4 linked regions of the Astyanax mexicanus genome follow. The protein of the gene in region 4 purifies or fractionates together with the protein of the main gene of each other region. This does not show direct contact. Links are inferred from orthologs where the notes say so. Each region holds a gene or a part of one and is shown on either strand. Other genes may lie near its edges.

Region 1 (7,486 bases), on a different chromosome or scaffold from region 4:
CTCTCTCTCTCTGACTGAACATAACCTGGAATCGGATTCATCTGCTCTCAAAGGAAAACGCATCACACCCACCCAGTTTAAAATGTTTCTTCTGCATGCTCGGTGCAGTTACCCATTCTCACCAGTGAGGGCCCTAAATCCCAAAAATTACAGACATCAGCTTTAAATAGATTTTTTTTTAATTAAAGCTGAGGAAGATGTTTGCCATTCTGATATATGTTTGCAGAAGCATATTAGAATATTAGAACCAGCACAAACCTTTGGAAATACATGACACAGTCAAAAAAAATGTACAGGCCACTGTTTTTAGAATTTATATATTAGACCTTACAGTGAAGGTCACAGAAGCACCTGTATGTCACTCATTAGAATACTTTGTTCATTTTCCACTAAGGAATACTTCTACTTTAAAATACGGTATATTTTTAAAAAATCCTAAGGATTGCTGCTTTAAGCAGTTTTAACACAGTTCACACAGTGCACAAATTCTGAAGAAATACTTTTATTAGTTTGCTTGTTTTTTTATATAGAAAGTTTGTTCTTGAAAAAATAAATACATACGTACATATTTAAACACATCCTCTACGCCGACATCTGAACACAGAATGTAACTGTTTATCAGTCATTTTTACAGAACGTTAACAAAAACAACAAACAAATTTGCAGTTCTACAAAAAATTGAGACAACTTTACAATTTCAGCTCCAACATCGACAACTCAGGGATGTAACTGTGAACAATAGAAAACATCGACTATTTGCTGCCGCTGGTTAGCAGTGCAGTGGAGCGAGAAGTGCTGGCACTGGCATTGGGCCGGACTCTCCTCTGGTCCACTCTAAGACTGCTCTTTTCTTCCAAAACTTCCTTCAACATTTCAACCTGCTTCAGCTGAGCTTGCAAATCCTGCTGCAGCTAGACGGTCCATCCGTATGGAAAAAAAAAAGTTATTTGTGATGAGAGTTTACATATATAACTGCATTCCAAGTTCTTAAAAAAATTAAAACAAAACTCAATGTTCCTCAATGTTTTTTCTTGAGATAGTTATGTTATAAAATTACTGATATCCTGCATTTATCTTATATTTTAGGACATTTACCATCAATGGCATTCCCATTTTTGCTGTTTTTCACTTTTTGATATAATGTACATCTACCAGTAGTTCTTTACTCTGTGTCAGAATTTCATGATGGATGGATCAATATAAAAGACTCAGAATAAAATCTTTTTACACTGACTTTTCACGTGTAAAGTTGCTACTTTGGAGATACACATTTTTGTGGGGTTCAGTGTCCACTCAAACACACAATGTTCATTGATCCAGTCTGCTTTTATCTTAATGTGTCTTTAATACTCTAATGTAAATGAGTTCTGTTTTTATTGGCTGCAGTTATTGCTCCTCAATCAGAAAGCAGCCCATTAAAAACATTACAACATAGTGTGAATGGGTTACATACATTAATATGTAAATGTGCTGGATTTTATAATGTCAAAAAACAATGGGCCTCATTCACAAACCATTCACATCTTCCTAAGAACTTCTTGAATATGTTGAATAAATATCCTAACAAAAAGTCTCAGTCATGTTCACAATATGCTTTTAAAAACTGCTGATTTATTCTTTACAGCGCTGCTCTTATAATAATGAATCCTACTGTGAATGAAAAAGAAAATCCCAAATAAGAAAAAAAGGTGACTGTCAGAATCTTGTTTGAAGCTGTGTAAATTAGATCTTAGAAATACTTTTTTTTCTAAGAAATAAGGCCCAATGAACCCAAGCTGATTTTGCTACTTATTTTCCCTACATATGGTCTGTCTGTTTTAAAGACATATTAATATTTTTATGTACTAAACTAAACAAAATTTTAGTAAAAAGTAAAGGAAAATTCTCCCTTTAAAGTAATGGTATATGAGACTGAGCCGACCATGCTACACTTACCTCAATGATGTTTTTTCTTATAGGTCTGGTTTCAAAGCTGACTTTGGTAGCTTTCACCACGGTGCACTTGCTTAGCATGTAACTGAACAGGTTAAAATAAGTAAATACAATTTTATTTTTTTTTTCCCCAACACTTGGACACCACATTGTACTTATTTAAAAGCCAAAACAAAAACACATCTCACCAATTTAGAACTTCTTTCCGCAAGAGAAAGAGATTTCGCAAGCTGGACCAATGTGTTGGAGTGGAGTGCAGGATGACACCCATGCTGCGATGACAAATACCGCATTCAAGGACTCTGTAAGTGCTTCGTGACAAATAAGAAAAAGAGGACTTTTATTACAAATTTTAAAATAATAAAAACTAAAAATATTTATGCCACATTAGGGGACAGCTTACTTACCAAAAAGCCAGAGGACCCTCTAGACATACCTCAAACTTCCCTCTGACTTTTACGTCCTGAGTGACTTCTGCATGAACACATTTAAAATATTATGTTCATATTGTGTAAAACGGGTTATTTGAAATAAAACACTCCGATTTAATATTTTAACACTATTCTATAAACCGATTGTTAATAGCAATCTTTAAAGCGCAATTCACAGGCTGTGCATGCAAGAAACACTTAAACATCACACAGAAGAAAGAATACTGCATGGAGGAGTAGAAAAAACAGTTGATGTCAGGTTATTCTTTATATGGTTGCTGGAAACGTAATTTAGGTGTCAAATGCGTCTTATCAAACTTATGCACACAGAAGAAAAATAAATGTTGTTTATTCTGGGTGACAAACAGCAGTGCTGATCTGCCCACACACATCCTTGCCTCTCTGTATCTGCTGACTTAAACACGTTGTTTTGTATTTCATTAATCGCGTGGTCTGCTGAGCCTCATGTTCCCACCTGCATTCACAGTTTAAACTGCAGAGCACTGTGGACAGAGGCAATGCACTGACAAGATGCAGAAGATTCAGTTATAGGTTGCCAGGTCTGTATAGTACACTCAGAGGGGGATTGGTAGTTGAATACAGAACCCTCACTGGGGGATTTCTGACAGTAGTCCTAAGGTCTGAAAAGACTCATGTGAGATCATTCAGGAGAGAAGTTGTTGTAATCATAAGGCTCTGTGTGGTCCAGCTGACTAAGGCGCCGTCACTATGATCTGGAGATTGCTGGTTAAAATGTAGTTTGCCATCAGCTACCGGAGCTCTTGCTCTCTCTGGGTGGGTAGATGACACTCTCTCCCCTCATGGTAGGGTGATGTCGATCAGCACAAGGCATCTGTAAGCCGATGTATCGCAAAGAAGTCGCTGCGCTGTCCTCTGAGCATGCTGGTTAATTGGCAATGCTGCATCAGATACAATGGATACAAGAGACCACTTAAAAATGGTGAGTTTCTTTGATTTTACCAAATTAAAAACCTCTGGAAAATAATCAAGAGGAAGATGGATCAAGAAGCCATCAAACCAAACTGAATTGCTTGAATTTTTGCACCAGGAGTAAAGGCATAAAGTTATCCAAAAGCAGTGTGTAAAACTGGTGGAGGAGAACATGCCAAGATGCATAAAACTGTGAAAGAAAAACAGGGTTATTACACAAAATATTGATTTCTGAACTCTTAAAACTTTATGAATATGAACTTGTTTTCTTTGCATCATTTCATGTCTGAAGGCTCTGCTCTTTTTTTTATTATTTCAGCCGTTTCTCATTTTCTAAATGTCTAAATGTCAATATTTTTATTTGGAATTTGGGAGAAATGTTGACTGTAGTTTATATAATAAAACAACAATGTTTATTTTACTCAAACATATACCTATAAATAGCTAAATTACAGTAACTGATTCAGAAACTGAAGTTGTCTCTTGTTTTTTTTTTCTAATGAAATGTTTTCTGACAATTTCTGACAATAAAAGCACTTCAATAACGCAGTTAACTTCTTTACAAATGTTTTATCTCACACTGAAAACAGAAACTTACTCAGGCAAATGATGGATTTGATACTCTTAGCCTCCCCACAGGCGGACAGGGAGTCAGCTATGACCGTGCTGCACTTGGCGCAGTGTAGAACACAGCACCGCTCATAGTCCACCGTGTGCTCCCCCGGCTCCTCCACAGCTCTCAGCTGCTCCACAACTACGCTGCTCTGGGTGCTATCGCAGTCATAGCTGTCCGTTAGGAAACTGGGCTTTCTGTGAGACATTTTCTACACTGGCGAGAATTTACACCGTGCTAAACAACCAAAACACACACAGCTCTCACTCTAACAAACAGTGTGATGATAGACTCCGCCCATGTTCAGGCTACGAACCAATCAGCGCTACAAACATGTTACCGTCTCCAGCGCTCCTAGCCAATCAGGAAACGAGGTGGCAAAATTTGAACTGTGGTTTTCAACCGACGCAGGCGCGTTCTCCCTTCAGTCACCCACCTAAAGAAACGCGTTTGGTTCGGTCTTGGACATACTGCGACCGTTTCTCTCTCTTTTTGTTTGTTTGTATCGTCTACATTGTCTAGATTTGGTCTTGGAGATGGATTTGGACTCCCTCAAATATGGAGACCTGCAGCAGCTCGCCAAAAGCGTTGGTTTGAAAGCTAACATGAAGGTGAGGCCGACATATATGTACGTTAACACTAATTTAGTTAGGGGCAGCTAGCTAACTGAGTTCGTTGTATAGCTTTCCGCTATAGGTTATTTCAGGTCCACCTTAACTGCTGCACGGCGTGGTCTGGCCCACATAAACATACAGTGTAGGTTAATGATGCTAACTGTGCACGTTTTAAGGTAGCAGGCTAGAATTCAAGGTTCAATTCAAGATTCATTAGCTTGCTAGTTAACCTATGTTTAAACTTATCTAACGTATTTAGCTAGGTTGGCTAATCTTTGTTTTTATATGGCTGTTCTAGTTATTAAAAATAAGTAGATTAAGCTATTTATTTAAGGCATATTTATAAGCGCAGACAATTGTTTCTGTGGCTGTGCGATATAAAAGCACTATTGCAATCAATACCAGGATATTTCACGGTGGTTTTGCGATAAATATATTATTGGCAGTATGTCAAAACACTGAAAAAATAATAAATACATTTAATTAAATTCAACAACCTACAGTCGTAACAAAGTACCTGTAAGTTATTATACGTAATACAAATATTATTGGTAGTATGTCAACACTGAATCTACTGCTGTAACAAAATAGATGTTACATGTTAAATTATTAATTACTGTAAGTATAAGGGTTTAAATTATTTAGTTGAAACAAATAGTATGTAAAAACAGTAACTTACCAAGACTTTTAATATAATAGTAGTTATTGTTATTGTTATTATTGTAGCAAAATATACTGCTTTCAAGAATTGTGACATTTATCACAAATGTTTGGTGATGATATTGTGTACCATATGATACGATATGGCACACCCCTAGTTGAGAATATTTAGTGCATGACTATACACTGCAAACGTAAGATTTAATGCTTCTAATACTCCCAAAGCTACAATGTCCCACTGCCACTGCTGATTTATTTATCCCCTTAATACCTTAAGCTAAATGTCTTATTATTCAGCATTAATTCTAATGTAAAATCTGTTGTGGTAGTATATATAAGGTTTATAAAATCTTGTAGTATTGCACAGGGTATTATTTTGGCTCCTAAAATGTATTTTTATCATGGCAGTTATTTAATAAAGAGAGTAAATCAGTGTGAGATTGCTCCTCTTTTTCCCTTCCCTTCCCTTCTCAGATAAATGGAACCAAACCTATCCATGTGTTTTTCTTTTAGGCTGAGAAGTTGCTGAAGGCCCTGAAGCAGCACTTTGAGCAACAAGAGAGCTCAGAGAATGTGAGTCCCCCAATTTCATTACACACCTTTTACAGCCTTTTAAGTTTGTGGTTTTTAGGTTTCAGGTGAAATACAGATATTTAAGCATTTTCCAGTTTGTCACCAGATTTTACCTGTGATATAATGTTCCTTTGGTAGACATGTCATGGAGAGTTTTAAATTCTCTTGGGTCTCCAAGTTTAAAAAAAAAAAAAAAAGTTTAATAAAATCATATATTTGATATTGCACATACTGCAATGCAATGTGACTCTTGTTTTATACAAATAAGTTCTTGTTTTAAAACATAAGTGTGGCTATAAATCTCATATTATAAATGCATTACATCCCTCAGGCAAATAATGTTGATGCTCAGGCAGAGGATGAGGTCAAGTCCTCAAATGTGACCAAGCGCCGCAGGAAGAGTGAAAGCATGAAGAGGAAGCATTCTGACCAGGGCAGTACAGACAATGAGCCCAAAGTGGAAGTGAGCCCAGCCCAGGTAAGTCATATCATTAACAACCTCGGTTATGTTAAAAAACAAACAGTTCATCGTGTTTAAAAAAAAAAATCACCAGAAACATTTAACCATTTTTAGGACAATGCTGAGCTTCATGATGCAGAGCAGGGCAGAAGAAGCTCAAAAAGGAGAAAAGTGTCTTCAACTAAGGGCACAGAGACTCCGGCTGTAGCTGAGGATCCCAAGGAGAGCAAAGCAGACGCAAAACCAAAGTCTGTTAATGTTACTCAGCAGGCTGCTCAAGGTATGCATTTGCCAGTACATTCATTCTAAACATCAAACTTTAATTATGCTGTCTACAGGTAACTCATTTTATATATCCACAGTCTTAACTCCATAGATAATAATTCATATGATTTTATTTGTTTGAATATTTTTGTTATTGTTGTATTATTTCATGAAAGTCATGTCAGTTTAATGTAAAAGGAAATTTACAATCAAACTCATATTTTGATAGTATGTAAAAGATGCGCTTAAGCTTAAAGAGCACTAGTTGAGAGTGAAGGATTTGGGAGCACAGATGCACTCAGTTTTTTGGCTGTGCTAACCGTTTTTGGAAATTATTGGAGGAAAACTGTAAAAAGAGGAATTTGGATTTGCATTTTCTTATGTGAAGAGTTGTTGTTGTTGTTAAATGTGTCTACTACTTTTCTTGAGTGCCTCCTATTTCCTGAATGACACACATACTGGATCTGCTGCTATAACATGTATGAATAGTTTGAATGCTTTTAAGGGTTGTTTTGTTTTCCACAGGTGTGGAAAAGAAGACTGCTGGCAGAATTCCTCGTCATGAGGGTCTGTTGAAGAAGACGAAGGCACCTCTGAGACCGACCACTCCTAGTAAAGTTTAATTTTCTGTCTGTTAGGGTTGGGCAGTATGATGGCATTTATTATTGGGGTAAATTGTAATTGTATGACTTCGGGAATTCAGAAAAACTGCATGTTTTATTGCAGTAAGTGCTTAATTAGACTAATTTAGTTAATTGCACTTGTGCAGGGCTGTATATTATGCTATGGGGCAATTTTAATTATAATTTCACTTAATATCCATCTTTTTCATTGACACTTGTCCAGTTTTAGTTTCCAATGCATTTTTGTGAGATCGACCTGTTATCTGATTTTTATTATTTTATGTAGAGCAAAAATCAGCTACTAATCACATTACTAAATACTAATGCACATGATTGTTAATATTATTGTTTTGTGTATATATAAT
Region 2 (8,121 bases), on a different chromosome or scaffold from region 4:
TATTGTTTACTTTTGTATAAGTTATGTCTCCCAAACTGTATGCACTTCCTTTGCCAAAGTCTTTGTGTCAGTTCATATTACTTATTCTAAACCGTTGTATATTTGTACATAAATTATAACTATCTATATGAATGTAATGTGTATTCAAACATGCATTTATTGACAATATATGAATAAATGTCTCTGTAAAGTGAACAGTATTCCTACCTGTGATACTACCTATCTTCCTTTGAATATTATTTAATAATGAACATTTGAAGATTCAAATAAACCATCATGCTTATGATGTGGTGTCTGTTTCATTTGAGGAAAATAAATTATAGTTGACAACATATAGCAATATGCTACCAAGAATTTGTTCTACAACCTATTTTTGCCATGTAAATTTCCACAAAAATAGGTAAAAATTGTGACAGAAACATCACTTCATGACGTAGTTAGCCTAGAAAATATGTAATGTGAATTTTGTTAAGAAAGGCACCCAGAAAGAAGCGCAAAACAATAAGTTCATTATGCAATCCTACACTGAGCTTTGCTGGATACAGTTACACAACACTCGCTCAGCGCAATCTCCCCATAACACCCAGTAACAAACCTCGTCCAATCACATCACGCCGTTGTGGAGCGGTTAGGGGGCGCGACCAATCAGGAGCGACCTGGGGCCGTGGTGCATTAACTGATTGGTGGATTTTGAACCCGCCCAGCTGCCTTACTGACCGATATTCTCACACGATGAAGGAAAATTTGCGTAAAGATGAAACCGCCAGATGAGGGGAAAAATAACTGACGTAGGTTTCATGTTTTAGCTGCTTAGCGCTACACCCAAAAAATCTATATACGCAGTTTTTAAATAGTTATAATAAATAGATAAAAATAAAAAGCTAAAATATGAAATGAAAGCCATTTGGGATTAAACTGGGACCCGAACAATACCAATACCAAACAACGGTGTCAGCTCGTTTTATTTAATAATTTAAAAATATGTACTAATAAAAATATTTATCTTTTTTTTTAATAAAAAAAAAAAATACAAATAATAAATACATATACATTTATTTTTATTTTTAGCTAAACACTAAAATTATAAATATTGCAGCCCCTGACAGTCAAAACATTTAGCATAAACATGTAAAAAATCTCGATTACATGCAAAGTCAACGTTTTGTACCTACCCACAATGTTTCTTTTCTGAGAGCAGGGGTTATACAAAACCGTGCATAATAAAGATCAGTGGCTTTACATCTACACACTACAGAGACCGCACGCTTCGCTATGCTGTTTACACTAGCAGACTCGTTTCCGAGACAGAAGCAGTGGTGTTATCACTTCAGTCTCTAGATTAGACTAGATTAGCACATTATACGTAATTCCATCACTGTCCTCTGAGAAAAAAAACACATACTGAGGGGAAAAACAAGTCGGACTGGGCTATTCTAACAGGCCTCATCTAAAGTCACAGCGACGCGCGCCCCCTGCTGTTACTGCACCTCTACTACACATGTGCACAACACCTCTTCAACATCACTACACATGCAACTGAACAACTGTTCAGTATGTGCCCGCTAATCTTCTGTTAAGCCAATAGTTGTTGGAACACTGATGTGAGGACTTGATTAGAGCAGTGGTGAAGCCAAGTATTGACTCTAGTTTTCTAAAGGGAATTTTATCCCTCAGCTGGTTCCAGTAGTTAAATGTGCCTTTACACCATTCTTATTCCACCAGCAAATCTATTCTATGGAGAATGCACAAGTGTATGTGTATTTTACAGCAGCAAAAGTCACTTAGTAGGAGTGTCTTGATCATTATGTACTTGTTATTATGAAAAATGTTAAGAACTACTGCTAAGGTCCAGGCCCTCTGCTCAGCAGCCAATCTCCATCGAGGGGGTCAATGTGGAAGTGGTCAAGTCCTACAGATACCTTGGTGTGCACCTGGACGATAGGCTGGACTGGTCAGTGAACACTGACTCCCTCTACAGGAAGGCCCAGAGCAGACTGTACTTCCTCAGAAGGCTTGGGTCCTTTAACATCTGCCAGAAACTCCTGCTGATGTTCTACCAGTCTGTGGTAGCCAGCGTCCTCTTTTACACTGTTGTGTGTTGGGGAGGCAGCATCAGCAAGAGGGATGCTGGACGACTGAACAGGCTGGTGAGGAAAGCTGGTTCTGTGTTGGGACTAGAGTTGGAGTCCTTAACACCACTGGCAGAGAGGAGAGCCCTCAGCAAGCTGCTGAACATCATGGACAATGTTCACCACCCTCTGCACAGCACCATCACCAGGCAGAGGAGCTCATTCAGCGGCAGACTGCTGTCCCAGTCCTGCTCCACAGACAGACTTCGAAAGTCTTTTGTCCCTCAGGCCATAAGACTGTTCAACTCCTCTCAGCACAGCAAACTGAAGACTCTGTGACACCTTTTCTTTCCAGCAATTCTGGCCACACCATGGACATACCCCCATCTATGGTCACACTATCTTGCTGATGCCCATAACACTATTTTTATAGTTCTACCCTATTTTGCACTAGTAGTTCATTCACTAGTTCATTCATCTACTGTTTACGTATCTTTTGCACTGCTAAATTTAAATTATTATATAACTGTGTTTGCACTTTCTGTATGGCGGACATCAGTTATCCTTATACTTACTTTATGCACATCAACTGGTGTTCGCTGTCTATTGTGTTCAACTGCACTACCTCCATTTTACATCACACACACACACTAAAGACTGTACTTTTATAATTTCATTTTATTTTTTATTTTGTTGTATTTATATGTATCATTTATATATTTTTTTATCTTTTTGTAACTTTGTGTACTATACACACCTGCTGCTGGATGTCAAGAATTTCCCCTCGGGGATCAATAAAGTATCTATCTATCTATCTATCTATCTATCTATCTATCTATCTATCTATCTATCTATCTATCTATCTATCTATCTATCTATCTATCTATCTATCTATCTATCTATCTATCTATCTATCTATCTATCTATCTATCTATCTATTTGGTTTAAACAACACATGGTCTGCAAATGTTTCCCTCTTCAAGGTATAGAGCAATATAAACTAAACAAGATTAATATAAGATTGAATGGGTATAAGAACAAAACTGTTTATTTGTGAGTTGAGGGTATTCATATTGTATTATTTTTTTTATTTACTGAGATGGAATGAGTAGATGTGTTAATGATTCAACAAAAGTGACATACAAATCTGACCTTAAGGATGTTCTATGGCTAAATGCAATCAGATCCTTACAACCAAAAAATCTAACATAAAGCCTTCTTAAAAGAGTATATGTTCTTACTGAAGTGAAGAGAACAAATCGGCTATTAACACCCTTATAGACATCTTAACATGTGGTGTCTTTAAAATATTAAAATATGAAATTTTTTCGGTAGTGCCCAGCCCTGGAAAAGCAGTTACTGTAAATTTCACTGTGATTTTGCTAGACTGTAGTTGTTGTTCTCATTATTTTATATTTCCGATACAGCAATCATCTTTTCTAAATAGAATGATCTTAAGCTCTAAAATAAAAAAGTCTTTTTGCTTTTAATACTAATAAATTACCAGAAGTGGGCCCTGAACATTTTTACAATTCAAGTTAAAAGACTGTATTTTTTCAAAGCATAATAAATTTATTTCTACACACAGAAATGTGTGTGGTACATAAACTACTATTTTCACTGTTGCATGCTCTCTAAATATTTGCTGCTTTGTGTCTGACCCCATCTCTCTAGGTTTCTTGAGATTTTATTTAAAGCAACTGATCCCAGGAAGAGATGATCATATGCTAACATATGCTAGTTTTACTCAGAGAGACTTTAATACTTTTACTCTGATACATTTTTATGTGCTGCACTGTTACTCGTTACAGTTCTAAAAATGTTACAAATTGTTCCAAACCCACACTATCACTAAAGCTACAGGGGTAGATGGTAATGTTACTGGGTATCAAGCAATCAAGGAAATCTTATTCAAAGACTGTGCTTCTCCCGTTCTGCTTTTCGCTTAGCAAAGTTCACAGCTTTCTGTAAGAATTACATAACACAGTACTGTACTTTTAACTACTTGCAAAAATTACTTTAGTACTTCTACTTAAGTGTGGAGCTTAAAGAACATTTATACTCAAGTCTGTTTTTTGATATAGAACTTGTAGTGTTACCTAAGTCTGGGTCTCTAGTTCTTTATTTTAGTACGAATATTTTTCTGATACTACTGCAGTTCAGTTTGTTGTCTCAGTACTTGTAGTTTTGACCAGCTGATTTTGTGGTTTTACTCTTTTTTTGCTTGAATTCCACATACAGTCGAGACATTATTTTACTGAGGTGGCATTACACATCAAAATACAGCTCTGGAAAATTTTAAGAGACCACTTATTAATGATGAGCTTCTTTGATTTTACCAAATTGAAAACCTCTGGAATATAATCAAGAGTAAGATGGATGAGCACAAGTCATCAAACCAAACTGAACTGCTTGAATTTTTTCTACCAAGAGTGGCACAAAGTTGTCTAAAAGCAGTGTGTAGGACTGGTGTTGGAGAACAGGCCAAGATGCAAGAAAACTGAAAAAAAAAAAAAAAAAAAAAGGGTTATTCTGCCAAATATTGATTTCTGAACTTGTTTTCTTTGCATTATTTGAGGTCTGAAAGATCTGCATATTTTTGTTATTTCAGCCATTTCTCATTTTCTGTAAATAAATGCTCCATTTTTATTTGGGATTTGGGAACTTTTGTCTGTAGTTTTTAGAAAAAAAAAATAATTCAAATATATACCTATAAATAAATAGCAATATCAGAGAAACCGATGTGGTCTCTTACTTTTCCAGAGCTGTATTTTTCAGTGTAAGGGTTAGTGTACTCTCCACACCTGTTTAAACACAACTTCATGTGTAACTCTTCCTCTGTTTGGCTCTTTTTTGCTCTGCTGCGTGTGAAACCTCCTCCCTGCAGAGGGCGGTACTCGGTACACAGCGCACTTTATCCTTTTGTTTGTGTTGCTGGGCTGGGGAACAGCTGTGGTGATGTTTGGATTAAACAAAGAATGTGTGTTTTTAGGGGATTTATGAAGAAATCGTGTAGCTACGGTACCTTCAGCTCAATGAGTGTCTCCGCTGTGACTGTTGTGTAAGGTTGTCAGTGGCGCTGTGTTAACTTGTAAACAGGAGCAGTGGCTCTGTGTTGGTGAATCGCGGGCTTTAGCTAACCCGGCTAAAGCTTAGCTCAGGGTAGTTGTGTAGTCGTTGGCTTGTTTTATCTTGTTTTTTTTAAATATAGGGCCAGCTCCTGTAACACTATAAAGATTAAAACTCTTCTGTTCAATAGTGCGGCTTTAATGTACAGTGACAGCGCAGAATCACATTTTATAAACGCTCTATAATTAGGTTAAACTAGCTACTGCAGGAAGGCTAGCTTCGCGTCCGCGCCAAATAACATTATTATTCTTCGGACATTTCTATCTTATCTCGCGTAAATAACTTAGTCCGGCAACTACTAAACACTAAGAGTTAATAAATAGCGAGTTAACCTGTTTTCACTGAACTGTTCTAATCAGTACTGTGTGTTGTGTTAGATCTGCTGTATTATGTTTTTCTTACCAATCTGGCGGGAATTCGCGAACCAGGAATGTTTTGTCATCACATAAGAAAAGCAATTTATAAAAAAAAGACAATACACTGAATTATCCTATTTCCCCTCATTTATGATTACAGTGCATGTCTGCAGCTACTGATCGTTTTTGTTATATATATTTAGTACTATATCACTTCATAACCCAGTGTATGTGTGACCTACATTTATAGCCTGCATCCATACTTGGATTTCCTTTACGTTTTTTTTTTAACGTATAAGCACATTTACGATTAAAAATGTAACTCTGTATATTTAAGGTGCATGTCTCTCTAGCTGCTGATTTATGTGTGTCTATATTATTTCATAACCCAGTGAGCGTGATTCGTCCGCTTGTTATAACCCAGCTAACTAACTACATCCGTACAGTGAACTTCCTTATGTGGGGGTTTTAAACGTGTACCAAGATTAAAACACAAAATAAAACACAGATTTCCCCAAATGTTATGTTAAGTTATGTTTAAGGTGCATACATGTCTCTATTTATGTATTAAGTAACTTAAGTCCATAACCCAGTGTGTGATTCTTCCTGTGTTTATACAGCCATACTTTTACTTCCGCATCCACGTTGTAAAACGTATAAATAAGTACGTTTACGAAATGCTATTAACTATATGCTGTTTTGCACACGTGTGTTTATTACTGATCGGTAGATAAACTGGATAGTTTAGATATTTAACCTATAATGCGCTTTTCGCGTAGAACAATGACAGGGAGTTGCAGCATGATTTTTAAAATACATATATATGTAGCGTTAAGATGTAAGCTAGGTTATGGTGTTGCATTATAAATTTCTAGCGTATTTATATGTGTTTATTTGTCGATGTGAGCGCGTTTAATGTCAGTTTAAGGTTATATTAAGGTTATATTTTTTATCCGAAAGCGCGCCTTTTTTACACAATCAAATTTTACTGCCGTGTTTGTGAAAAGGAACACACACCCGGCGCGTTTGAAAGTTCCCGCGATCTGCAGCTGACGCCTCCGCTGCTGATTGGCTGGTGACAACAAAAAAAATTAAATGACCTCCGGGAGCTCTGCTCCTATTGGCTGAGCCGGATCGAGCGCCAAGAACTGAATAAAAAGGGAGCAGCGAGAGACTCTCCTCATTTTAGTTTCTTCTCTGCGCTTTAGGCTGTCGCTTGCTTAGTCTCTGCTTTTATTTTACTTAGATCACTTTTTACGTTTTTAGTTTTCCTTATTTTACTGCTAGAACAACGTTTTCTTCTTTTCCCCCCCTTTTTTTTATCTCAGAACTACACAATGCTGTCCACTCGCTCTCCTCTCAAATCCAAGCATGAAAACGCTGTTTCTGCTAAAATGGGCTCCATGGGGCTGGTTGACAAAGAGAACACGGTAAGAACGGGTTTAATTATTGAGCTAATACTATTTATTTATTTTTTTCCCCCTTTTTTTTATGTTTTCAGTTCATGTGTTAATATTTTTGTTAATGGCACGCTGGGGATACACCGGGCTGTGTGTGTGCGTACAGTTAGAGTGTTCTAAAAGACCTGTTATTGATGCAGTAAATATCAACTAATGCAGTTAATTTTAATCTAATATAAGTTACCTGTCTTTGCTCTATAGCCACCAAGTCTGAACACGACCAGAATCCTGGCTTCCAAAACGGCGCGTAAAATCTTCGATGACTCTGAGGTGAGTAAACTTTCCAACCTGAGGCATTTTTAGCTAACGCTAGCACGCAACAGTTAACCTACAGTTAACTAGCTTCTGTGTGTATTGTGACCCAGCAGCAATATTACACAATTCACTTGTTGGTTAAAGGTTTAAAATAATTATCTTGTTGTGCACCGCTGATTTATAGTTAGTTTCATTTGCACAAAAACTGTTTTAACAAAAGCTCCAGCAAGGCTAACCTCCCCCTCCTCATCACCCCCGCCAAACAGCTGACGACGTCCTTTGGCGGCAGAAAGCTAACCCGCTAGTTAGCTTAGTTAGCCTATTGTGTAAACCTGTTCAGGCAGTCCTCTTTTTTTACTTTGTTCAGCCAAACCACACGTTATTTAAAAAAAAAAGTACTGAAGACATCGCCTTTTTAACACCATCATTACCTTCTAAGTTAGTGTTAATTCCATAGCGTGACTACCATAATTTTACCTTTCTAGTCATCTATGGTAGGTTAGTAAGTCAAAGAGTGGCCTTTCTCAAACCTTTTTTTAGTTCGGTTTTTCATTTAAATTAACAAGCATCAGTTTTTGATGATGGTAGCAGAGCAACTTAATCAGTAACTAGCTATTTGCTTTGTTAGTTAAGAGGTGTTTGATACATTTGCTCAAATATATATTAAAGTAGTTTTATCTGTGACTAAGTGTAACTTTTACCTTGAATTATTTGGTTATACAACTTTTAGTGCATGCAAGTGGTTCTGGCTCTGAAGTACCTGATTTGGAGACTTTCCAAATAGTTCTGATTGTATGACTATACAGATGATCTGTAGCTAGATGGCTGTAAACTGCAAGCTGTTGTGTGGTT
Region 3 (7,642 bases), on a different chromosome or scaffold from region 4:
TCGCTCTGCTTCACGAGAGAGCAGTCGTTCAGGCACAGCTGTGTGCAGAGACTGCTTCACACTCTGGTAGTGTGACTCTAAAAGTTGAGGAAAAACACACATAAAAAGACAAGATATTAGATTAGTCATATCACCCTTCAAAAGCCCAGCAACCATTACAGAATCAAATGTTTATCTAATATACACCTATGCATCTAGCAAACACCACAACAAACAGAACTCACTTTGTTCAGCAAAAAGCTGAGAGACTGCAGCTTTAGCTGGTGACCCTAAATCAGCACAGACGGTCTGCAAACGTTTGGGAGAAGCAGCAGAAAGACGCGAGAGGGGGATTTTAGAAGGTGACTGGGTAGAACGAGGAGGAGAGCCGAAGACTGGAGCATTCTCATTGAAGGAAAGTTTGCGGGGGGAGCCCAAAGAGGGGCGCCTCTGTTTAGGAGGAGAACACTGCAGAGACGCTGGCAGGTTGCATCCGTTCTCATCGCCTGCAAAAAGACCATAATAAAACATTAATATGTGTTACCTTTTAACAAACATACACAGAACATTCACACAGAAATGTACAAAAACATTCTGAATTAAAGTTAAAATTAATACCTGTGCGTTTGCGGGGGCTCAGGGGAAGTCTCTCAGCCAAAGAGCTGGTTTTGAGCACTGGGTTTCTGGGTGAGAGGGGGAAGGTTTGGACATCAGCACTGGTCTTTCTGGGAGAGAGAGCGATGGTATGGAGGTCTGCCAGGTTTGTCTTTCTGGGAGAAAGTGGGATTGTTCGGACATCCACCAAGTGTGGCTTTCTGGGAGACAAAGGAAGGTCTCGAACTGCATTCTCAGTATCAGGCAGAGACGAACGCTTGGAGCTGGACTTTTGGATTACCCTGGAAGACTTGCGTTTGGGGAACTGGAGGGTTGGCTGACTCTGGGAACGAGTGCTAGGCATTTTCGTAACAGGACCAGTTTGCAGCTCTAAGTGGGGGAGGAAAAGGAAAGGGGAGGTATTGTTAGGTAGATGTTAAGCCAGTGTATGGGGTGACACTAAGTTGAGAAAAGCCATTTTTAATTCAGAACTGTGCTATTTATCACAGTTTATTCAGGACATTTTGCTACCACTAACATGTTAATTTAGCTAGCTTAAAAGTTGTTCACAGCAGTGCATTACTAAGGTGAAATTTAGCTTTTTTAATACAAAAAGTGACCTAAACTAAAATAAGCTTTGGGGTGAGTTAACCAAGCTAGCTTTTGTCATCTATAGTAGACTGTAGGCTAACTAGCTAGCTAATATTGCATCACTGCCACCTCAATAAGATAGCTAGAGTTTAAAAACCTTTTCATTGCAGAGACAAACGTTTTAAAAAATTAAGACAACTTCAGTTTCTGAATCAGTTTCTGATTTAGCTATTTATAGGAATATGCTAAATGAACATTTATTGTTTTGTTCTATAAACTACAAACAATATTTCTCCCAAATTCCAAATAAAAATATTGTCACTTAGAGCATTTATTTGCAGAAAATGAAAAATGGCTGAAATAACAAAAAAGACAAAGCTGACCTCTAATAATGCAAATAAAACAAGTTTATATTCATAAGGTTTTAAGAGTTTAGAAATCAATATGTGGCGGAATAACTAGTAAAATCAAAGAAACTCATTAAGTGGTTTTATTTTTTTCCAGAGCTGTATATCATGAGGAAAACTACAAAAATACTTAAAGAAAAATAAACAGGGGAAAATGCAGTAAGACATATGCATTTTAAAATTAAGTTCCTGACAGTAGTCCTTGCACAAACCTAGTGTAACACATTTTTCTCAAAACATCAAGGGGGAAACTAAAAAAAAATACATAAGGTAAAAATACAGTAAATAAAAAATACATTTAAAGTTAATTAAGTTACAGACAGTAGTTCTTTAGCAGGACGACCTTTTTAAGATATTAGTAATAACTTAAACGTAGAATTATACCAAAATGTGACTTCTTACTACAGTTAGCTTTGGGGTGGGTTAGCCAGGCTAGCTTCTGTTGTCTACAGTTGGTTATATTGCAAGTTAGCTAAGCTAAGTAGCTAACCAACATTGCTGCACTGCCACCTAAAAACTCGCTAGGGTTAGATTTTTTAACATTTTTTATTTTCATTGAAGACATCCCCAAACATAGGGCAATACATTATTCTCAAAAATACATAGTAGTTAGCTAACTAAAAAATAATAAGTTAAAAATAAAATATACGTTTGAGAAAAAGATAGTAAAGGAAAAATGGGGGAGGGGGTCAAAGAGGTACACATTTACAGTAAATCAGGAAATGTTATTTTAAAATATTAATACACTGCTTTTTGCATTTAAGACCTTATTTTTTTGTACAAGCGTGAAAGATTAGAGAAAGTTAGCGCCAACAGATAACACTACAGCATGGGGGGGGGGGGGGGGGTAGCTAGGTAGAATTATTATACTTGTGTTGCTAACTTATTAGTTCGTTAATCAAGCCTAGCTGCATTTTCATTTGTTATTTTTTTAGGTTTTTCGCAGATCAGTGGCTGGCTTGCAAGTTGTTAGTTAGCTAGCAAACATATTATAGACAAATAGCTAACGCTAGTTTAACTAGCTTAACCCAGATCCGCCACTAAACATAGTTAAAACACCTACACCCACACATATGTCTGCCTAAAAAAAAACAATCGACATGTGAATATTAATATCTAATGATTTCTAGGTTAAATAAGACATTATTAAAGCGATTCTAACTTAAAAAGCCCCCTGATTCACAGCTGAATGGTTAGTAAACTAGGTTTCCTACTTGGCGCCAAGTTCTCCCCACCTCAAGCAACCCACAACTAAGCATTAAAACGCTGCGTTTAAACGCCATTTCTGATAAACTGCTCTTCACTACATTAAATATCAGTAACACTGCGAGTAAATCTTAGTCTTACCTGTATAAAATGTTTAATAATCTTCTGTTTTTCCTCAGGAAGTCTCTCACCCGCAGCTCCACTGTCAGCAGTCTCTCCTCTGGCGCGCTTCAGCTAATCGGGGTCTTTTAGGATCAGCTGGAACCTCCCACCACCCTATGACAGCGTCTACGCACTGCAACCCTATTGGTTGGCTTAGTGCCAAAGCCCGCGAACAGCCAATCAAATCGCTCAATCGCCACCGTCTACTGGAGCCTGAACACTGTTGGCGGGTGTTTTCATTGTTGACACTTTCGCGGATTTTTTTTTCCCGGGAAATCTTCGTTACATCCGTAACATTAAGAACTGAGTGTAATATATTTAGTATGCTCTGCTGCTGAAGTAACATCCACGCGAATTTCTGCTAAAAAAAACGTATAATCCTTTACTTTTCGCTTTAGAAAACGTGTATTTATTCACAATAGTCGTGTAACAAATCTTCTGTCCACAGGCGCAAACTGTTTAGCCACCAAATGAGACAAAAAGACCAAGGAGACAAAAAATTAAAGATTAAAAAGAATAATAATTCTGGCCAGAATCGATTTAAGTAGTTTACATTCATAGTCTACATTTCCAAATAAGCCATTATAGTCAATACAATGGAAACACAGTTTCGATAGATTGATAGATTGATTTTATAAATTCACAAAGGCAGTACTGCATTTGTAACAATATCCACGTAAAGTTAGCGTTGCAGTGATTTTATAATCATCTGAACTAATGTAAACTGGAGGCTGGTGTGGTAGATCAGAGTATGTAGGTGGGTGTCTTACAAGCTGTTGAGCCCCCAATATGCTCTTCGGCCGCCTTTCCCCTTTGTTGTGGTTATTTAGAAGGGGGGTTGTGTGTGTCTTTTGTTCACATGTGGTAAATTGTTAAATCACCTTTTAAATGTGTGCACTACCCCGTCAATTGTGCACTATTAATATTAATATATGTATAGTACCCGATAGTATTAGTGTGACGTAAGTTACTGAATATGTAACTCACAGTACTGTAGTTACTACCCACCTCCTATATCCAATAGTATCTCCCGTGCTATCAGAAAATGACTGCAAACCGCTAGAGGGTACCCGGGAGTCCTTAATGAATTGGGGTTAATGGAGCTAAACGGCAAAGTGTAATTTTGGACAGATGAATGAAGAATTTTCCTTTTCATTTCCTACATTAAGCGTTTTGTAGGCAGTGTAGATGCTAACATTTCTGCTATTGTGAGCTAATGCTGGACATGTTAAAGAGCCACTAAACCCTAAACTATATTTTTCTATTAATGTAATATAATTCCATTAATTTAAACTGAGGGTGGAGTAGAAATCAGGGGATTTAGTGCCCCTTTAATCACCTTGTTTACCAGTTTGTTTACCAAAGTTACATACAATTGCAACACAATGGAGACATGGAGAAAAAAAGGTTCTTGCAACAGTTTAAGATAGAAAAACAACATCTCTTTAAATAATATATTTATATAATTTAATAATGAAAAAAAATATTACAGTGCAGAATTGTGCTGTTTTCAGTTTATCCAGGACTTAATCCCAAACTAATTCTTCTTAAAAAAAAAAAAACGAAACCCGAAACATTATCACTATTGTTAAAGTTAGCACTGAGTTATGATCACTTAAACAAGCAATGCATCTCAATTAATAATAACTACCTTTTGAGTATTAGAATATATATATATATATATATATATATATATATATATATATATATATATATATATATATATATATATAAAATACTCAATAGATAAGTGTCAACATTGAATATTCTCAAATATGCAAGATCCTGTACATACATAGAATCAGTTACATTTTAAGTAAACTACTCCTACTATTACTACTACTACTACTAATAATAATAATAATAAGTGAATCAAATGAAACCACACATACTTCCCATAACCTTTATTTTCAAATTCAACACAATAGCCAGTCTACTGTTACAAACTGCTCATTTTGGCAGCTTAGAACTGTTTACCAAAGTCACATAAAATTGCAACAGGCCAAGAAGGAGACAAAAGAGGTTCTTGCAACAGTCCAAGAAGAAAACCCACCTCTGGCCACTTAGAGGCTACATACGGATAAACGCTCTCCGGAAAAAGACCAGATAGGAAATGGTCTCCTCATAATAAACGTTTTACTGTTATAGAGGTTTAATTCTCTGTATTACAAAACTTTACAATAAAAATCTTTAACTACATTTTATATAGTGTAATATACATTATTACAATTCATTTTCTTAATTATTACACTAGTGTTTTATTTAACAAAAAGAAAAGGAAAAAAAGAAAGAAAAAAAAACATTGGTACCAGTTAAATCTGTGAATGACATCTTTCTTCCAGAGAAATTCATAAGGTTTTAATTAATAATAAAGGAATATGATGCTGATTTTACAGCACATGTTGCACCATGAGCAGACCCTCAAAAATGTCAGGGCCTACTGCATACACTGTGTGCTGAGTGGCACTTAGGATATTTGGTCAGTACTAAAGAAGAGTGGTTAGGAATCAGGTAAGTTTAACACATACAAATCAAGGTATCAGATTTCCCTTCTTTACAGACAAAATTCAAATGCATTGCAACGTATTTGCCGCTCACAGCAGGAAAGGCAAAGGAATGGCTGCTCCACGTTCCTGTACTAAACAACACTCAGATTGTTCAGAGATGAAATCCAAATGGAATGAACGATTCTATCAAAAGACACAGGGCTAAAAATAAACAATAACATTTACTATATAGCCCCTACTATTGGCAAAATAATCACAAAAAATAAAATCACACAATCTTCCCTAATATACTTGACACATTAGCTCTCATTTGGGAGGAACAGTCTATGATACAGTAACAAAGAATTACTTTATGATTCTAAGGCGCAAAAACATGAAACAAAACAAACAAAAAAAAAACTTTCCGCATAATGTAATGATTGTCTACTTAATTAATTAATTAATTATTTTTTCTTTTCACTCTGATAGAGATAGATTGGCATAAAACAAGTGCTTGGTCCATTAGTTGATGCCCATCTCTGGCAAAGATTGTGCAGCTGTCACATTAGAAGGAATGCATATATAGAGAATAGTTCTCTTGGGTCATCTAGAGGCACAATACAATATAGGCTTCACGCTTTATCAAACTGCATAGTGTTTTATGGTCTGGAGGTATTTGTTAGGAACCAGTCGGAGCAGAAACAGGGTTGATTTCTCAGACGTGATTCAGCAATGAGAATTCACCAAATTTGTTTCATCAGTGAAAAATAATCTTGCTTAGTGTATTGTGGTCTTAGCTTATTCTGGAAAAGCAACCCATGTTGTGGTCACGGGATCATAAGTAATCTAGTTTCCCTATTTGGTCTATTTGGTCAGATATAAATGTTGGGCACCCCTGGCATTTTTTTAAATGCATAGTTAATATTAAATTACATTACTATTGCCATTATATAAGTTTATTTTGTTATTTGTATTATATTATTATTATTTATTACTATAACAAATATGATGTGTAAGACCTATTAATTTTCTTCATCTGATTATAAATTAATTATTCAGATCAAGACAGATATTTTTGTTGAGGTAAACTGCAGTGTGCATTCTCTCAAAACAATGTGCTATATAAGAACACACTTCTGTTTTATGTCTATTTTACCACATATTGTGTAGGGCACACGCTTAGTGTGAACTGTGTTATTTGAACACATCTGAATGCACAGCTAGTGTTAAATCGTTAAATCGGATAGCATACCGATTCAGAAAAGTCTTTATCTGGATACACAGGTGTGTTCAAACAGTAGCATGCCATGTGTTGTTTTTAACACATTTATTTTGAGAGTGTACAGGTAGGTGTATTAGTGTGCTGATGTGAATGTGTGGAGTTGGGTTCAAATTTCATAGTCGTTCCTCACTTCCTGAGTGTATTTCACCTTGCAACAGGTGGCAGTGGAGGAGCTCCTCTCATCACAGCTACAGTAAGACAGACAGAAGGGAAATGACATTAATAAAAACTGACACAATCAAATATGTTTAGCACACATTCAACACACCCAGATCTGCTCTCTTTTTTTGACTTGGAAGAGTGGTGCTGAACTACACAAAAAAACTAACTGCAGCTGTAGGCTACAAGACCAGTGTTTAAACATTATCCAGATTATGTTTGATAGTCACTAGCAGTCCCTGTTTTTCATTCTTTATGCATAATTCAAAGGATAAGCTGTAAACAAAGTAATTCAGGGTAAATTGGGGTGAAATGGTTAATTGTGGAGAAACACGCAAAATCTGATACACCCTGACAGTGAAGGTGATAAAAACCTCCTGTCCTATATATGTTGTCTGCAAAGCTAATGTAGTTTTTAAGTAACATCAATGATGGAAAAATGATTTTATAAACATTTAATTATGACTGAAATATTGAATATTTTTAGTGAAAACATTTGGCCAGAAGGGCCCAGACTTTCAAAACTATTTCAGGTTCAGTTCAGTTTCCTTCTTCTGGACCAAGCTAGGAAATGAACTCATGGTCTGCTTTGTGTGCACAGCACTGTGGTCATAATGAGAAAACATCTTCTCTATGTCTTTCCACTAGGAAATGCTCTTGGGCAGACAGATACCTGGCTGCTAGTGGAAGCAGACTAAAATAAATATACTTCAGTTCAAGTAAACTGCATAGAAAAAACTTAAAAACTAGACCCTGGACCCCTAAATCTGGCTTAT
Region 4 (7,697 bases):
TGTTTCGCTTCATGTCTCCACTCACAGCTCGGACAGCCAGCAGATCCTCGGCGGAGAGGGACTGCAGAACATACAGCAGAACCTCCTCAGGAAGGGACAGCAGGGTCAGGGAGCGGGTCTGCTTTCGGACCCGTTTCCTCGCAGGCAGAGAATAACATTTAGAGCACCGACAGTGAAGCACTGGAAATTAAAAATGAGAAAAATTAGATTTAGACATTAATAAACATATATTAAGATTTTTTTTACATACAACTGAAATAGTTTTGCCATAGTAAACCATCAGCAGTAATAGCTTGATATGACATTAGTTCCCTAACTAGAAAAAGTCCTTCTGTTAAAAAAAAAAAAAAAAAAAGTTTCTGAAGAGACTTCATGATAGCCAAGTTAGCAAGGTTTGATTAACAAACTAACTACTTTTAACTACTTCCCTTCCTTCACTCCTCTATCCCATTATCTCCCTTTGACCTCCTTTAGGCCCTATATAAAGATGTTTTTAACATCTATTACTTTTGTACTTCACTACTGTAAGTCGCTTTTGGAAAAAAGCATCTGCCAAATGTAATGTAATTAATACAAGTTTTTATACGTTGTAAGTACTTCCTAATAGACGTCACAATAAAGAACTCCTATGATTTACAGGCATTCAAGGAAACTTTGTCACTCACATCACATGTGGTAAATAAGGTGGAACGAAATTGTAATCTTACAATCCAGTTCCACCCAAAAAACTATTTTTAACAAAATAAATATATAATAGAATGAAAGTAAAATAAGAGCAAAATATATATATATCAAGATGAATATACAAAATAAAACACATAATAGAAGTGTAGGGAAATAGCATTAACATGAAATCCAGAGTGTTAGTTTTGCCCTAGCATCATGGACAGACAGATATACAGATAATGTTACTTTATTGATAACGAAGAAAATTTAGCAATGATGATGGATGATAACTAACACAAATCATAGTTACCAACTGGATGAACCACCAGTTATAGTTCTAGATAGCTAGCCTGTATGTGTGAAAAGTGTTTGTTAGTTAGTTTAACTAAGTTATATAATCGGAAGTCATATGAAAAGTCCCTCCTTAAAAACAAGGCCTAGAGACTTTTAAAGCATTAGTTATTATATTAAAAATTAGTAGCTATTTATAAATTCTGGAGCGACTCCATAGCTAAACTAAGAAATACTCTTGTTTATTTCATATAAATATATGAAAGTAGTTAACTAGCTATGAAGCTACTTAAAAAAAACTATTATACATTATTATATTTTAACAATAAGAAAAGCATATGACTTAACGACTTAAAACACATTTACACTGCCTGTATTTAGTAAGATACCAACAGCTTTAGTGAGCTATAACTGGCTCTCCTAGATAGCTAGCAAGCTAAGCTACTTAGTTCCCTCCTTAAAATCTAGGGCTTAAGAGTTTTAAAGTATTACTTATTATTATATTTAAAATAATCAGCTGGTTATGAATTCTAAAGGAGACTCAATGACAGCTAAACTAACAAATACCCTACTTGGGGTTATTTCATAAAATGTTGCTTAGAAGCTTTAATATTATGCAAGATATAACGTTATTTAGTTCAGCTTCTTAAAGTCACACAGTCACATAGCCTGTTAATTACATCTCCCTAGCCATACGAAGATATAACTAATAACTACATATTCTAGTAGGTTATATTGTTAAAAAACATTTGAGTTAGCTCAAGTTATATTTAAAATGGTAATTATTGGTATTATTTGGAAGTTCCTGGCTGGGTTTTGGGTCCTTAGCTAGCTAAGTTAGCTAGGTTAACTAACAAACTGTTGCTTAGATCATTTGAAAAGTCCATCCTTACAAAAAACTAGGGCTACAGTGTTTTAAAGCATTAGCTAACTATCTTTATATCACTTAAAATGCTCATCTACTTAACCGAATTTTCATATGATGAGAGATATTTAGCCACATATTTAAACATAGTCACTTAGCCTGGATAAACCAACAACAGTTATAGCTAACTTACTTAGCTATGAAGCTGCATAATTAACTTAGTATTCCTTAGCCCACTTTAATAATAAGAAAATCATATGATTTAACTACTTAAAACACATTTATACAGCCTGTAATTATATGAACCAGCGGCAGCTATAACTTAGTTAGCTAGCTAAGCTATAGTTAGCTTACATCATTTGAAAAGTCCCTCCTTAAAAACTAGGGCTAAAGAGTTGTGAAGCATTAGCAATCATTATATTTAAAATGATTAATTTAATTTGGTTATAGTATTAGATTTCGATAGATTTTAAGAAAATTTCATACAAGTAAAAGTCTTTATATGATGTGGGATATATTTACTTATTTAAACCACCAACAGCTAACGTAAGGTTAACCTATAGCTTAGCTTCCTGGTTGAGAAGCTATAACTAGTAGGTTAACTATATTTGCGATTATATTGATTAGTATATTGTTTTAAAAGATTTGAGTAAGCTAAAGCTTTATTTAAAGTCATTATTTTTATATTCTTGGCTGTTTCTGTTTGAGTTTTGAGTCCTTAGCTAGCTAGTTAACGTTAACTACCTAACCTAGGTTACTTGTATGTTATCTGTAACCTACAATATAATGTTAGCTAAACAAAATCAGACCTTAAACAGAGTTATCAGCAACCCACATTAACAGAAATATGTTTTTGAAAATATAAACAAATACATAAATAGGCAGTTTGACTAAATAACACTAGGCATTGGAGCTGAATCAGTGCTAACGCTAGCTAACCTAAGCTAACTGTATCAACATAACTCAGATAAACTCATCTGAATCACTTACCGCCCGCTTTCATTTCAGTAGAAGATGAGCCCTGTTGGTAACTAGTCCCCGAAACTAGTGAATTATACACAATTTTCAGTTAAATTCTGAATATATATAAATATATTTATAAATATATTAAACAGTATAAGCTACAGGGAGCCGCTAACCCCAGTGCTGGGCTGTTGATTAATTTTAAGCACACCGCCTGAGCCTCAGATCCTGCCCCAGGCACTTAGCCCCGCCCATGCGCAAAGGTTTAAACATCAACCTCGGGAGCTCATAGGCTACAATCCGGGCCCGCCCCTCAAAACCCCGCCCCGCCGATTTGCGCAGACGCACAAGTCGGCGTACAATTGGTGTATGCCTCGAATACTGAAATCCGCTCCTCTGATTGGACAGACGGATGCTATTTCGAATTGCGCGTTTCCCATGTTGTTGCTATTGGTCGATACATTTAAAGGTATATTTTTGGGCGGGATTTACATTTGAAGTTTAAAAAAAGTTGTAAAAGTGTGTTGAATATAGATTTTAAATAGTAATCAGGATATTATAGAGCCTGAAACACGATGGATAGTTTAGATTAGATTACATCTATTGATCCATTCTTGATGAATGGACCAATAGAAATACTTTAAAATGGAAAACAATATTTTTACATTGACATCCAATGAAAGTTTAGACGTTGCTGTTTTGGAGATATTTGTTTTGCATTGGACAGTGACGATATGCAGTTATGAAATGAACAAAAAAGTCAAAACACACCAAAATATGTTTAATATTAAATATTATAGATTATAGATTAAAATCTTTAAGATAAGATTGGACCTTTTGCTTTGATGCCAACTTTGTCCACTCTTGGCTGATTCTATCAGTTAGTTTTATGAGGTAGAACCTGGAATGGAAACTTCCAACTGTTCTAGAGATGCTGCCTCTTTATAACTGCTTTTTCTTTACTCTATGCTCCAACTTTAATAAATTAAATACAGCAATACAAAAAAAGGTTGAACAAGAATATGTGTCTAAATTTTCGACTGGTACTATATGAGCTGATTTAATGGTAAATATACTAAAGCCTTAAAAGTGAGCTTTAACATGTTAAATTCATTAAAGTGCAGCAAATATAATATAAATAACAATAATAATTATACTCATTCTTTTTTTCCAGTTTGGGTGGAATTTGGCTAACATTGAATGCATGAGTTAAAATCAAATCATGAAATCCTGAGTTGAATTGGTTCTTCTTGTTTTATTCAACTTCTATATTACTGTGTATCCAGTCATTTCATTTGGTCTGAGTAGGAAATCTGACATGGGTGAAGAATTCCAGCTAAAATTCCCTCCTGGGAACTTGGAATTTCCAGATCTGAATTAAAATGGAATTCAGCATGAGTACTAATGAAACAAATGTTACGTGTTAAGCGATCTTGTGTTAATTATTGCTGATAGTTTCAGTATACAATGCTGTATAGTTAACTTTACATATGACAATATCAATTAAATTAACCTTTACAGTCTTATATGAATCTATAATATATGATGTTTGACTAAGTCTTAAACTATATAACATATGTATGGACTGTGCACTGTAATCTGGAACCCTCCACTCAGTTTACCACAACCCACCACAGGAAGTTGTCCCCTCGGTTTCAGACAGTGTGACTTTTAGCAAGACAATCAAAAACTGCTGACGGCTCACTTTCACAAATGCACCGCCAGCAAACTGCACATTTCTCCCTTTGCAGCCCATAATATAATATCATTAAACCATTTAAAGAATTGGGAGATTTTTCAGTGCATAAACGTGTGTTTGTTCAGATTAATCAGTATTTATTTATTTTTATTTTTATTTTTAGAAATTGATACCATCCAGATGCTAGTATCTGTCATTGTATGGATGAAGCAGCATATTATGTAAAATTTACTTTTTGCATGCTTTTATATTTTCATTTGGGTCACAACAGCCCCTATAAACACTATAAACACTCCAATCACCAAAAAAATCCAGCCATTCGTTTTCTGTGAATCAGCTGAAAGAGTTTGGGTCAGGAATCATTTGCTTCTATGAGCTGTTTGGGTGGCTGACGTCACAATAATGAAACCAGCATAGAACCACCCTGGCTCCACCCCTCACCGATCTACCCACTCACTAGATCAGTTAAAGAAACACAATTTCGGTCTGAGGGAGGGATCTGAACCTACCGTCCGCTGTGCCCACACCGTTTCTATCTTGGAGGTGGAAAAGGAGCTCCACTGACTGATTAAACCCTGACAACAGTCAATTAATGACCTGTGAACACGCAGGTCAGTATCCTCTGATAAGATACGAACACGCCAAAGTCAGAGCTCACCTGCCTCTTAATGGGAATGACAACTGACACACTGATTGGTCTATTTCACATTACGCCCAAAACCCACCCATGATTAATTAAGAGAATTTGTTCATGCCTTTTGACAGTTTCGAACCACGAAAGGCGTATTTTTTGTGCCCTCACGATACCAAAGACACACAAACACGTCCTATAGATCACTATGCGCTATAGATCATTAAAATAGGTCCCATGTTTTGCTGTTTAGCACAAGCTAACTATAATGTGTGGTAAACAATCAGCGTAAACATGGCTCATTCTAAAAGGGACTGAAACTGGTAAGAATAAAGCTGGTGAGATCTCTTTATCTTTATGTGAGAGTGATTTTGTGCAAAGAACTTCATGATCGTGTTTTGTATAGAGCATAGACCTGTTCTAACCTATTATAACTAATAATTAAAAAAAAGTATAATACAGCTCCGGAAAAAATAAGAGAGCACTTAAAAATGATGAGTTTCTTTGATTTTACCAAATTAAAAACCTCTGGAATATAATCAAGAGGAAGATGGATGATCACAAGCCATCAAACCACCAAACTGAACTGCTTGAATTTTTTGCACCAGGAGTAAATCAGCATAAAGTTATCCAAAAGCAGTGTGTAAGACTGGTGGAGGACAACATGATGCCAAGATGCATGAAAAAACCTGTGATTAAAAACCAGGGTTATTCCACCAAATATTGATTTCTGAACTCTTAAAACTTTATGAATATGAACTGGTTTCTTGTCATTTCTCATTTTCTGCAAATAAATGCTCTAAATGACAATATTTATATTTGGAATTTGGGAGAAATGTTGTCTGTAGTTTATAGAATAAAACAACAATGTTCATTTGACTCAAACATAAACCTATAAATAGCAAAATCAGAGAAACTGATTCAGAAACTGAAGTGGTCTCTTATTTTTTAATGCAGAAAAGTGCATTGAGATCAACAATGTAAAACCACATGCTGCACACATTCTTACAAAAGCGTGGCCATTAAAGAAGGGGGTACAGATACTATACTGGCCTGTTGAAGCCATGCTCACTTCCTAAAAGAGATGTGTAATATGCAGGTGATTTTAAAACAGAAAAAAACAGGACAGTGAGACCCCGTACTGTTGTTCAACACTAATGCTCTGTAATAATGCCATAAAATCCCTGGATCAGAAATATGACATCAGGTCAGATTTTCAGTATGAACCCCATGTGAAAACTGCATTAACACCAACTGTGTCTCAAAAGCCCAACAGCCATTTAAAAAAATTGATTAGAGGATTGATTTCCTTTCATGCTGTGCCCGCGAGGCCGGGTCAGTGAATTAAAGCCCGGGAGAACAGAACCGATCCATCAGGAAGTGCTGCCTCTGTTTCCAGGTGCTACACAAAAGCAGCATGTAATTAGAGGCAGTGCGATTCCAATCAGGGTTCTCAGCATCCCGACCAAATGACCCGTATTTACTAGGACCGTGAGTGTGTGTGTGTGTGTGTGTGTGTTTGTGTGGACAAGACATGCCAAATTAGGATTGAAGGCACTGCTCAAGCGTTTCCATGGCAACCAGAAACAGCATGGCAGTAAAGGGTGTCCGTCTCGTACAGAAATTACACTTTCATTACTGTTCTCCGATCCTTTACATTCACATTTATTCAATTTAACCAGAGGCATTAATATAATACAGTGCATGCGTGACACATATTTAAACAGTGACACATTCTTTTGCCATTATTATAAGATATTAAGTCATAATTATTAGGTCCTCAGTCATTATTATGAGATTATGAGTAAGTCATAATCAGGATAATATCCCATTATGATGGGATATATTATTAGAAAGTATGCTATTATTATGACACAGTCATATTTGTCATATTTGTGGTAGTAAGTCATTATTATGAAAGACCAAGTCATTATTATAAGATATTAAGTCATAATTATTAGGTACTCAGTCATTATTAAGGCATTATTTTAAGATTTTAAGGCATTATTTTAAGATATTAGGTTAGAATTAAGTTGTTTTAATGAGTTAGTAATAATAATGAGATAAGTTATAATCATAATAATAGTAAGTTATAGTAAGTTATAATTATTAGAAACTAATTCATTATGATATAGTAAGTCATTGTTATGTAAATAATTATGACATATAGTAAGTTACAATTATAAGATAGTAAGTCATATTTATGACATAGTAAATCAAAATAAAATTGTGTGGTAGTAAGTTATGATTATTAGATACCTAGTGATTAATATGTGATAGCAAGTATTTATTATCAGCCATTACGTCATTATTATAAAATAGTAAGTTGTAATTATAAGAAAGTATGCCAATATTATGATACAGTAACTCAGAATTATGAGATTGTAACTCATATTTGTGGTAGTCATTATTATGAGATAATACGTCATAATTATACAATATTAAGTCATAATCACAATTCACATCATCACTAAATCACAATTATGAGATATCATGGTCATAATTATTAGAAACTTCATTAGGATATAGGAAGTGATTGCTATGTAAATAATTATGAGACAGTAAGTTACAATTATAAGATA

The links.
Region 1: the proteins of ccnf (region 4) and nusap1 purify together in Homo sapiens (affinity purification with mass spectrometry; 3 studies listed by BioGRID, with this or other methods). This does not show direct contact. The link is inferred for Astyanax mexicanus from reciprocal best matches to the Homo sapiens genes CCNF and NUSAP1.
Region 2: the proteins of ccnf (region 4) and ribonucleoside-diphosphate reductase subunit M2 purify together in Homo sapiens (affinity purification with western blotting; 5 studies listed by BioGRID and IntAct, with this or other methods). This does not show direct contact. The link is inferred for Astyanax mexicanus from reciprocal best matches to the Homo sapiens genes CCNF and RRM2.
Region 3: the proteins of ccnf (region 4) and cdc6 purify together in Homo sapiens (affinity purification with western blotting; 4 studies listed by BioGRID and IntAct, with this or other methods). This does not show direct contact. The link is inferred for Astyanax mexicanus from reciprocal best matches to the Homo sapiens genes CCNF and CDC6.

What each region holds. Positions count from the first base shown.
Region 1 is NC_064414.1:7,790,417-7,797,902, forward strand, and holds the start of nusap1 (nucleolar and spindle-associated protein 1), read left to right. Parts: upstream 1-4,317; 5' UTR 4,318-4,463; coding exon 4,464-4,538; intron 4,539-5,714; coding exon 5,715-5,774; intron 5,775-6,105; coding exon 6,106-6,252; intron 6,253-6,348; coding exon 6,349-6,514; intron 6,515-7,023; coding exon 7,024-7,110; intron 7,111-7,486. Other genes in the region: oip5 (protein Mis18-beta), read right to left, coding at 753-911, 1,936-2,017, 2,121-2,243, 2,340-2,406, 3,913-4,135. UniProt on the Homo sapiens protein: Microtubule-associated protein with the capacity to bundle and stabilize microtubules. May associate with chromosomes and promote the organization of mitotic spindle microtubules around them.
Region 2 is NC_064408.1:76,113,365-76,121,485, forward strand, and holds the start of ribonucleoside-diphosphate reductase subunit M2, read left to right. Parts: upstream 1-5,071; 5' UTR 5,072-5,090; intron 5,091-6,882; 5' UTR 6,883-6,891; coding exon 6,892-6,984; intron 6,985-7,215; coding exon 7,216-7,284; intron 7,285-8,121. UniProt on the Homo sapiens protein: Provides the precursors necessary for DNA synthesis. Catalyzes the biosynthesis of deoxyribonucleotides from the corresponding ribonucleotides. Inhibits Wnt signaling.
Region 3 is NC_064423.1:17,209,341-17,216,982, forward strand, and holds the start of cdc6 (cell division control protein 6 homolog), read right to left. Parts: upstream 3,065-7,642; 5' UTR 2,919-3,064; intron 964-2,918; 5' UTR 938-963; coding exon 598-937; intron 486-597; coding exon 225-485; intron 78-224; coding exon 1-77. Other genes in the region: wipf2a (WAS/WASL-interacting protein family member 2), read right to left, coding at 6,852-6,895. UniProt on the Homo sapiens protein: Involved in the initiation of DNA replication. Also participates in checkpoint controls that ensure DNA replication is completed before mitosis is initiated.
Region 4 is NC_064426.1:40,348,418-40,356,114, reverse strand, and holds the start of ccnf (cyclin-F), read right to left. Parts: upstream 3,021-7,697; 5' UTR 2,826-3,020; coding exon 2,813-2,825; intron 181-2,812; coding exon 26-180; intron 1-25. UniProt on the Homo sapiens protein: Substrate recognition component of a SCF (SKP1-CUL1-F-box protein) E3 ubiquitin-protein ligase complex which mediates the ubiquitination and subsequent proteasomal degradation of target proteins.